Saccharomyces cerevisiae S288C: one gene and its partner. Changing the gene in region 2 together with the main gene of any one other region gives a genetic interaction. Each region holds a gene or a part of one and is shown on either strand. Other genes may lie near its edges.

What was found.
Region 1: mutations in RIM101 (region 2) and VPS8 together harm fitness more than expected from each alone (negative genetic interaction), as found in Saccharomyces cerevisiae (3 studies listed by BioGRID).

The regions. Positions count from the first base shown.
Region 1 is NC_001133.9:141,550-148,031, reverse strand, and holds VPS8 (CORVET complex membrane-binding subunit VPS8), read right to left. Parts: upstream 4,326-6,482; coding exon 501-4,325; downstream 1-500. Other genes in the region: transcription factor TFIIIC subunit TFC3, read left to right, coding at 1-438; EFB1 (translation elongation factor 1 subunit beta), read right to left, coding at 4,872-5,412, 5,779-5,858. UniProt on the Saccharomyces cerevisiae protein: Required for localization and recycling of the CPY sorting receptor (VPS10) to the late-Golgi compartment. Involved in the retention of proteins to the late-Golgi. Plays an integral role in the complex vacuolar protein sorting process.
Region 2 is NC_001140.6:49,264-53,488, forward strand, and holds RIM101 (alkaline-responsive transcriptional regulator RIM101), read left to right. Parts: upstream 1-1,847; coding exon 1,848-3,725; downstream 3,726-4,225. Other genes in the region: WSC4 (Wsc4p), read left to right, coding at 1-1,317; YHL026C (uncharacterized protein), read right to left, coding at 3,956-4,225. UniProt on the Saccharomyces cerevisiae protein: Transcription factor that mediates regulation of both acid- and alkaline-expressed genes in response to ambient pH.

The DNA of each region.
Region 1 (6,482 bases), on a different chromosome or scaffold from region 2:
GGAGAGCTATTGAATATGGATGTAATTCCAATGGTGAGAAATGTTCGACCTTTAACGTATACTTCAAGGAGATTTGAAATACGAACATTAACTCCCCCTCTGATTATATATGCCAATTCTCAGACAAAATTGAATACAGCAAGGAAGTCTGCTGTCAAAGTTCCACTGGGCAAACCATTTTCTCGTTTATGGGTGAATGGATCTGGTTCCATTAGGCCAAACATATGGAAGCAGGTAGTTACTATGGTCGTTAACGAAATAATATTTCATCCAGGGATAACATTGAGTAGATTGCAATCTAGGTGTCGTGAAGTACTTTCGCTTCATGAAATATCAGAAATATGCAAATGGCTCCTAGAAAGACAAGTATTAATAACTACTGATTTTGATGGCTATTGGGTCAATCATAATTGGTATTCTATATATGAATCTACATAATGAAATGAGGTGTATAAATTTTACTTTTATGTAACCAAAGTTGTATTAAATATTTAGAAATGTTATACTATTTTTGGGTTAGATTCCGTCTGGCAAATTAAACAAGAATATTCATCGGGTTTCTGGGCCAAGTTTTCGAGGCAAGTCTGGTGAAAGCCATGGTGACATTTGAATATGACAAGGGGAGTTTTGAGATCTACACTAATCATATCTTGGTGGCGCTGTACATTTTCCCAAGCTAGAAAAAGTAATGGGTCCAGACCAGCTCCCCATATTTTTTTCCCGCAGATTTCGCAGTCGTCGGTGTGTATAGACCACCCTTCACTCAGAAATTTTCTATACTGTTGAACAAGATCTTGCGAAGAATCCTCTATAATCTTTTGAATCAACTCAGAAAGAGATCTTTCCAATTTATAAGTATTAAAAACATTCAGTAGCAGTTGCTTTAAATCCTGAACTTTCATTAAAATAACGTCTTGGTGCTCAAGAACAGAAGACATTATTTCCCAGAATTCCCCACCTGAATCCTTCTGAGAGGAACTCTTGGACCTAACCAATCCCAAAAATGCTTCTTGAAGTAGTTTATTACATAAATCTTTCCTTTCATCGTGTGAAGGATATTTCCCATATAGAGTGATCAGGAATGTAATCAATAATATCCAACACGATTTTTTCTCGGTACCAGCAGAATTACAATCATCAAAGGCCCTCCTCAAAGATTCCAATAAAGTAGATATATTTGTTTTCCCTTCATTTAGACATTGTTCAATAAAACTTAATAAATCCCTGACTGCTAGGTTAAAACTTTCCAAGCGTTCGTGAATTATAGCTGCAGCTTCAAAATTAGAGTCTTGATTCAATAAGTCCAGAATTTGTAAGCTCTCAGCGTTGCTGAGAACTGTACCATTAAGCCAAAGAATCATTTCCCTTTTGCTCTTGTATTTACAGTTCAATTCGATGTGTAAATTTCTTAAACGCTTATCGACCTTATTGTTGATATTTGGCGTAGAAAAAAGCTTATCCAAATACTTTTGCTGAGTCTCCTCATTCTTTACTTCCAGGATTTCTTGATGAAGATTATAGTCAAAGTCAGAAAAAATTGTGACGCATTTTTCGATACCGATCCTTGAGAGAAGAAGATCAAAGTTCGTCTCGATAACTTCAGTAACTTTGCCACATTCTAAACTTCCAGGTGGGCATTTTTTGAGTATGTAGTCGGTTATGGATACAATGTCCGTGTTATATTCTTTTTCGATGTCCTTAGTTTCTAAAATAAGTGAAAGCGCACTGGCGTACTTATTTTCACTTTTATAGATATGGAAAAGAACTTTATTGAAATTTTTTTCTTTTAGTTCCAGTATAAAATTTTCTGTTGTTCTTGAATGATAATAGGGTAAAAGCGACTCCAGAGCTATTTGAGAAATTTCATATATACCTTGAACCCTAGAGGAGCATATGGTATTAACAACGCAGTCGAGGGCTTGGTTAGACACTTTAATAAATTGAGGATATTTTGATATACTAGTTGCAATGAAAATTGCAACAAGTACCCTGATGTTGTCTGAATTTCCCGTATCTTTCATAGCATCCAATAGTAGATCAATAACATATTGCCTACTTACCAATTCTGCTTCTCCAACTGATGCAACCATGTCATTGTCATCGTTAAACAAGGACGCTTCAAACACTTCATTGAGCATTGCTAAGAACCTACTCGGATTCGATTTCAATAAAAGGTGAAAGTAAGGAAATGCTGGCTCTTCTTCTGGATTTTCGCATATGTAAAGTTTATGATTGCTGTTCGACGGCCATTTTATGGAGAAGCCACTAAAAATAAATGCTGAAAGTTCCCTTTGTATTTTGGAGCATTTATCACTTGGTGATATAGACAAGTTTTGTGGATATTGCCTGCCAGTAAGGATATACGTTACGTAATCAAATATAGTCGTTTCAGGAGGTACTTGAGGACCATTGAAGATCACACATTTTTCACTTTGGTTAGAAATCCTGTATATCAAGTCCACCACTGGGGTTTGATAATCATCAAAGATCTTGTTCCAAATATATATTAATAAATCGAACAAATTATACTTTTGGCATAGTTTGACGGCAAGATCAACATCAAGCGTAGTAGGATTTAACATGATGATTAAGTCTTCAATTACTTTTAAATTCTCCTCCTTAGCATAGTAATCAATTATGGACCTGAAAAGAACTGGGGAAATTGACGTAACTGATCCTTGGGCAACAATATTTGCTACAACTTCAAAATATACCGCGTTGTCCTTCAATTCAAAGAACTCCAGACCCTGTTCCAAAAAGACGTCTAGAGAAGGAATTGAGTCTAGTTTTTTGGAAGATTGCTGCAAAACACGAACAACTACCATTAATAATTGGTAAACCCTATTGTAGTCGGCATTATCTTTTTTTATAAGAAACCTTAGGGCAGCCAAGGACAGATTGTAAAATGGTTCCATAAGTTGCTTAGTCCTCTCTTCCGTATTATTATCTAGCTTCAACAAGTTTGCCAGTGGACAGTAAGGTTGCAAAAGTGATTCTATGAACTCCAATGCACCCAAGTAGTCGCCTTTCAAAATATGTCTTAAAGTAATATCTGACCAAGACACAAATTTGCCAATTTTAAATGAGTAGTTTGTTAACAGGTAGAAACTTCTTCTACTTATTACAAAATATTTATTAGGTGGGATCATCAAATCGTGAATCAGAAAATCCAATCTTAACAGGATCTTGAAGTCATGTTGGGGGTGCAATACCAAAAATTGGTGCGATATGGTTAAAACACCAAGTAGGAGCTGGTCAATCCATTGAATGGATAATATAGATTCTGCAAATTCAGGAGAATGGCTAGCGGACTGAACATTGAAGTCTGATGAAGATATGGAAATAACAGAAATTTTATTATTTACGGAATAAGCAACCCTGGAACAGTTTTGAGTCCATGAAATAGAGCTATTCACGACTAGAGAATTTTGTACTGAGGGTTCAACAGTTTCTTGAAACATCAAAGAAACGTGTGGCGATAATAAAATAAGGGCAAAATGTGTAGTTGTGAGTACACTCAACAAATTAGTGGAAATTTTCTCCCGTGATATTAGTGGAGACAACTTTGACCTTATTAATTTCTCCTTGGAAGAGTTCACATCTAAAATTTTTTTTGAATTATACACCAACTGCCAAAAGCCTCTTCTGTAACCGTTATAGAGTGATACTTTACCTGTCCTATCACTAACAATCAGGGCTGTATGCCGAGCACCAAAAAAGTCTAACCCTGTGATTTCCTTGTTCACATGGTCATCGATGTGTAAGACTGCCGGTAAGGCAGGCGTTGGGGTCATACCATTTGTTGGTTCAGAAGTGGGTTTCACTCTATACCCTACGTTCAAGTTCCAAATGCATATATTTCCGGTCTCGTATGAGGCAGCTACATGAGTACCATCGGAACATATGACAATTGATTTCACTGGACTTCTTATTGAGTGAATAGAAGGGTCCTCAGATAAGGTCGGCACTAGGATTGTCTGCAAATGTTCATTATAATTAAAAATGAGTACGCATCCTTTAGAAGTGCCCATCAAAAAATACGTGGCTGTCGGATACAAGCACGTGGGCCCTCCATAAGCACCCAGGATGGAATATACGTGTGTTAAAGTTGTCCATGAGACTACGGATTCGGAGCCTTGTGACACTGCAGAAGCTACCCCTTTAGGACCATCTTCGTTCAGGGGAGGTGCCGTATATGAAGAACTAGATGCCAGTTTTTCACTTAATTGGGTATACGATCTAAATTCTAGGAAAGTCTTTTGAGTGTCATTAATAGTCGTATCGATGCTAGATCTGCTGTCGTGGTCAAGGCCATTTTGCTCCATTCTAGGTGTAATGAGTAATGGTCTCGGCAGATATATATTTTACACTTATTAAGCCTTTGTATGTATTGGTAATAACTGTCCTTTTTCACGCAGGTATATCATCGTAACCAGAGGTTCCCTTTTTTTTTTTTCCACAGGAAACTCACGTTTTGATTATATGTCTTTCTCGTTTTTGCCATGTTAAGCTACGAATAATGAAATTTTCCTTTTCTTCTAATCGTGAAAAAGTTATCCACCATAACTCCCTACACCGCGTATTTTCGACAAGATATTATGAGTATGTGTATTTAAGAATATGAAAAGAGATATACATAACTTGAATATTCCCGGAATAAATTCAATTAATAAACACGATTCCTTATATAGTGGTTACACAAATTAGTAATAATGTTTCGTGTGCAGTCGAAAAGTTTATCGTTCAAAATTCCTTCTGTTTTTTTTAGCCTAAAACCTAAGTTATTTCGTTGTTTTTTTCATTTATTTGTTAATCTTTACAATGTTGTTTTTGCTTTAATGTTAATTATAAAAAGTTTATAAAAAAGCCTTTTATAATTTTTGCATAGCAGCAATATCGGTAGATTGGACGTGGTCTTCGTCTTCTTCAATGCTTTGTTGCAAGTCATCCAAGGAAACCTTGTCATCTTCGACAACACAGTTAATTTGCAACTTCTTGATACCGAAACCAATTGGGATAAATTGGTGAGCACCCCAGGTCAAACCTTCCATTTCGATGGCCTTGACGTTAGCAACCATTTCTTCCAAATTGGTTTCATCATCCCATGGCTTGACATCTAGAGTGACAATGGACTTAGCAGCTGGCTTAGCTGGCTTAGCAGCCTTCTTAGCGTTGTATGCGGCAATTCTTTCAGCCTTCAACTTTTCAGCTTCAGCGTCAGCTTCTTCATCGTCGGAACCGAATAAATCGACATCGTCATCTTCTTCTTCTTCGGCAGCGGCAGCAGAGGCAGCTGGGAAAGAGTCGAATTCATCGGCCTTGGAAGCGATGTGGTTGAACCATCTGGAGAATTCTGGGTAAGCAGATTGGAAAGCCTTGAAGACAGTGACGTCAGCTTGAGAAACAGCAGTACTATTTTAAAAGGAGAAACAAAACATTTTGCTTGTTAGTAATGAGAACTTTTTTCTTGTAATGCAATCTTTAGACTCTGTCTTTCTTTTTTTGAACAAAAAAGGAAAAAAAAATAACAGATAACTAATAATGATACTCTGCTCTGTGCTATCGTCAGATACTGTGATAGTCAACCACATCTCTTTTGTCACTCATATCGGGGGTCTTACTTCCCATCATAAACACGGACCAAAGAATTAAATTCATCATTCACATAAGCGAAAAAAAGTAATCATTATTAGTTAACTTCCCTTTACATGTAACCATAGGAAAAAAAAAAAAGAAAGAAAAACAACGATCTATAAAGTAAACTAAATCGGAACATACCCTTCAATGTATGACTTGTCAGCCAAAGAAGCGTTTAATTGTTTCAAAGTTTCAATCTTGGAGAAATCGGTGGATGCCATTATGTGTGTATATATTCGGTTGGACTCTTCAGTGCTGAAAGGTAGAAAGCATGAGGTAAAAAGATAAAGAGTAGAAGGAAAAAAAAAAGAACCAACTAAATATAGTGGGTAGATAACCTTAAACTATTTATTTAGAGGCGACAATGTGAAAAATTTTTTCTTCAAAGGCTCGGTTGTCGACAAATTGTTACGTTGTGCTTTGATTTCTAAAGCGCTTCTTCACCTGCAGGTTCTGAGCCCTAAGAAAAAAAATTTCCTTGGTTGAAAATGGCGGAAAAAAAAAATTCAGAAAAAGAAATAAAGCACGTGTGCGCGGTGTGTGGATGATGGTTTCATCATTGTCAACGGCATTTTCGTTCTTGTGGATTGTTGTAAACTTTCCAGAACATTCTAGAAAGAAAGCACACGGAACGTTTAGAAGCTGTCATTTGCGTTTTTTCTCCAGATTTTAGTTGAGAAAGTAATTAAATTATTCTTCTTTTTCCAGAACGTTCCATCGGCGGCAAAAGGGAGAGAAAGAACCCAAAAAGAAGGGGGGCCATTTAGATTAGCTGATCGTTTCGAGGACTTCAAGGTTATATAAGGGGTGGATTGATGTATCTTCGAGAAGGGATTGAGTTGTAG
Region 2 (4,225 bases):
AGTACAACACCATCAACTGATATAACATCGGCACTGCCCACGACTACAAGCACAAAGTTGTCAACATCCATTCCCACAAGCACGACATCGTCAACCTCTACCACCACAAGTACCTCATCGTCGACTTCTACGACCGTAAGTGTCACATCATCAACATCTACCACCACAAGTACTACGTCGTCAACCCTCATTTCCACGAGCACATCATCATCATCATCATCAACTCCAACCACAACATCGTCAGCCCCCATTTCTACAAGCACGACGTCGTCAACTTCCACTTCAACAAGTACAACATCGCCAACTTCTTCTTCAGCACCTACAAGCTCGTCTAATACAACACCAACGAGCACAACGTTCACTACGACATCACCCAGTACAGCCCCTTCAAGCACTACGGTTACTTACACCAGTACCACAGCATCTCCAATAACGTCCACTATAACTTCTGTAAACCTGCAGACCTCCTTAAAGTATTCTGTGATAACAGTGACTTCAGTGCACACCATGGACACTAACATTTCGGAAATCACCTCGAGATATCTCACCATGAAAAAAGTAATAACGCAGATTTACTCTTCCACCCTCGGGGCTACTCCTACTTCTGCAGTGGCTACTACGTCTGCCAGCGTAGGTGGTAGAATAACAAACAATAACAATAGTAACACCACCAACAGCAATACACCAACTAACAAGTCTACAGAAAAGAAAGGGTACTGGGATTCGCCCGGGAAAATAGCCGCTACTTTCGTCGTGGTTGGAGTGGTATGTTTGGTAATTATATGCATACTAATATACTTAATACATCATTATAGAACAAGACCCGCTCGGAAGGCTCAAGATTTTGAGAATGAATATCAGAGTAAGTTTTACCAGTCCAAGTACCCAAATGAAGTTACCACTACCACGTTACACACGCCTTCACCATCTTCAAATTCAACTTTCTCGACCCCAAGATTAATATACACTGATGAAAAGGGACAAATTATGTCTGAATCACCATCCCCACGTCAATCTACGTATTCCTTGACTGCAGGCAGTCCACCAAATGACCCAAGCACGTTGGCAAGCCCATTTCACGATCCCATTCTTCCCAGAAGAACTTCTACTTTTCTTCATTCGCCCATTCAAAAGCAACACGAAAAAATGGAATCAAACGTTACTCTAGGTGAAGACACGGTACTGGTGGATCAGAGGCTAGACCCAAGTAAGATGCTTAACACTTTAGCAAATGACGATGCCACAAACCACTCTACCATTTCGTTATCAGACAACGTAGACTACTCCAGGAGGGTTCTGCGGCTAATGAACGAATAAAGACTGCAGCTCTTATACGTAATAAATATTCCACGAACGATAATACATACATAATTTTAATTCTGAACTTTGTTTTTTTCCTTCGAATGTTCTCAAAAGAATGCTTTACGACAATAACGCTGTTATCTTGTACATACTTTTCTCTGCCCAGTGACAGCAGGCACAATAATCTAAATACCGCGTTCGTGCGAGACATTCTCTGTGATTCACAGATTACGGCGCAGAAAATAAAATAGCCGTCCAGCTCGGAGTTTCTAAAATTACGTCCGAGATGACGGAGGCTTATAAAATCATTTCAGACGGGTGAGGGATGCCAATCTACGAGACAAAAGATAAAAAATTAAGACTCAATAATATAGAAAGGAACTAAATGTTTTCATAAGAGTCACCGTCTATAACCTTTTTTTTTTTTATTGGTCTGTTATCACTTCCACTGAGAAAGTAATATTGCTATTGCACAACACTTTTTGAACAAGTGCAAAGATAAAATACTGAAAACGGTAAAGTAGGTTTGTTTAAATTGACTTAAGATGGTGCCATTGGAAGATCTGCTTAATAAAGAAAATGGCACTGCCGCACCTCAACACAGCCGGGAGAGTATAGTAGAAAATGGGACAGACGTTTCTAACGTCACAAAGAAGGACGGGCTGCCCAGTCCTAACCTATCTAAAAGGTCTTCTGATTGTTCGAAGAGGCCTAGAATTAGGTGTACCACGGAAGCTATTGGCTTGAACGGTCAAGAAGATGAACGGATGTCACCAGGCAGCACTTCTTCATCATGCTTACCATATCATAGTACTTCACACTTGAACACTCCTCCATACGATCTATTGGGCGCTTCGGCAGTTTCACCCACCACATCATCTTCCTCTGACTCGTCCTCCTCCTCGCCATTGGCACAAGCGCATAACCCGGCAGGTGATGACGACGATGCGGATAATGACGGTGATTCTGAGGATATAACACTATATTGTAAATGGGACAACTGTGGTATGATTTTCAACCAACCAGAGCTGCTATATAATCATCTGTGTCATGACCATGTTGGCAGGAAGTCACATAAGAACCTACAATTGAATTGTCATTGGGGAGACTGTACCACGAAGACGGAGAAAAGGGACCATATCACCTCGCATTTGAGAGTTCACGTACCATTGAAACCGTTCGGTTGCTCTACGTGCTCCAAAAAGTTTAAACGTCCGCAAGATTTAAAAAAGCATTTGAAAATTCATCTGGAAAGTGGCGGTATTTTGAAAAGAAAGAGGGGACCCAAATGGGGCTCAAAAAGAACTTCTAAGAAAAACAAAAGTTGTGCAAGCGACGCAGTGTCGTCTTGTTCTGCATCTGTGCCTTCCGCTATAGCTGGTAGCTTTAAGTCACATTCTACTTCTCCACAGATATTACCCCCATTGCCCGTGGGTATATCTCAACATCTGCCTTCACAACAGCAGCAGCGGGCTATTTCCTTAAACCAACTATGCTCAGACGAGCTATCTCAGTATAAGCCGGTATATTCTCCACAATTGAGTGCCAGATTGCAAACGATCTTGCCGCCATTATACTACAATAACGGCAGCACGGTAAGCCAAGGTGCCAACAGTCGGAGCATGAATGTCTACGAGGACGGTTGTTCTAATAAGACCATAGCAAACGCCACCCAATTCTTCACCAAACTATCGAGAAATATGACAAATAACTACATTTTGCAACAAAGCGGTGGTAGTACTGAGTCCTCGTCATCATCTGGGCGCATCCCCGTAGCACAAACAAGCTATGTGCAGCCACCTAATGCTCCTTCATACCAATCCGTACAAGGTGGTAGCTCTATTTCGGCCACTGCAAATACAGCAACTTATGTGCCAGTACGGTTGGCCAAGTATCCAACTGGTCCTTCGCTTACTGAACATTTGCCACCTTTACATTCGAACACTGCCGGTGGTGTTTTCAACCGCCAATCACAGTATGCTATGCCACACTATCCATCTGTTCGTGCTGCGCCTAGCTATTCCTCCAGTGGCTGTTCTATATTACCGCCTCTACAATCAAAGATACCAATGTTACCATCGCGCCGTACAATGGCAGGTGGAACTTCATTGAAGCCTAACTGGGAATTTAGCCTGAACCAAAAAAGCTGTACTAATGATATTATCATGAGTAAGCTGGCGATTGAAGAAGTAGATGACGAAAGCGAGATAGAGGATGATTTCGTAGAGATGTTGGGTATAGTGAACATTATCAAGGACTACTTGTTGTGCTGTGTCATGGAAGATTTAGATGATGAAGAAAGTGAGGACAAAGATGAAGAAAACGCATTCTTGCAAGAATCTTTAGAAAAATTGAGTTTACAAAACCAAATGGGAACTAACTCAGTTCGCATCTTGACCAAGTATCCCAAAATTTTGGTATGATATGGATTGTCGGATATTTTATTCTTAGTTGTTTCTTTGCGGCTGTATAGTAAATGAATAAATCACACATGCCCTAGCGCGGCGTCGCGGATTAAACAAGGTAACAATGGTTAAAGGAAAAATTATTTGTTAAGGTGGGTATATTATAGATTGCTAATTGTAAAGTATTAATAGTTTATTAAGTATTAAACTAGAGTTCGCACATGCTTTTATTTTTTTGTTGCTTTTCTTCACGCTACCGCTTCTTGAGACTGTTGTTTGGTAGTACTGATATCTTGATCGGTTGATCCCGAGCTGCGATTACCCGTGGAGCAAACTTCTTGATCCTGCTGTAGCGTACCGTTTGCTAAGCCTTCATAGTAAAGTTCCTCGTGAAACTGGTTTCTCAACACAATGACGATGATGGCCACTGGAGTGCATACAAAGGCAATTACAACGGCATAAATCAACTTCATGACCTGCGGTAGTGGATAATCGTTGAAGTAGTAGTCGTGGGACCC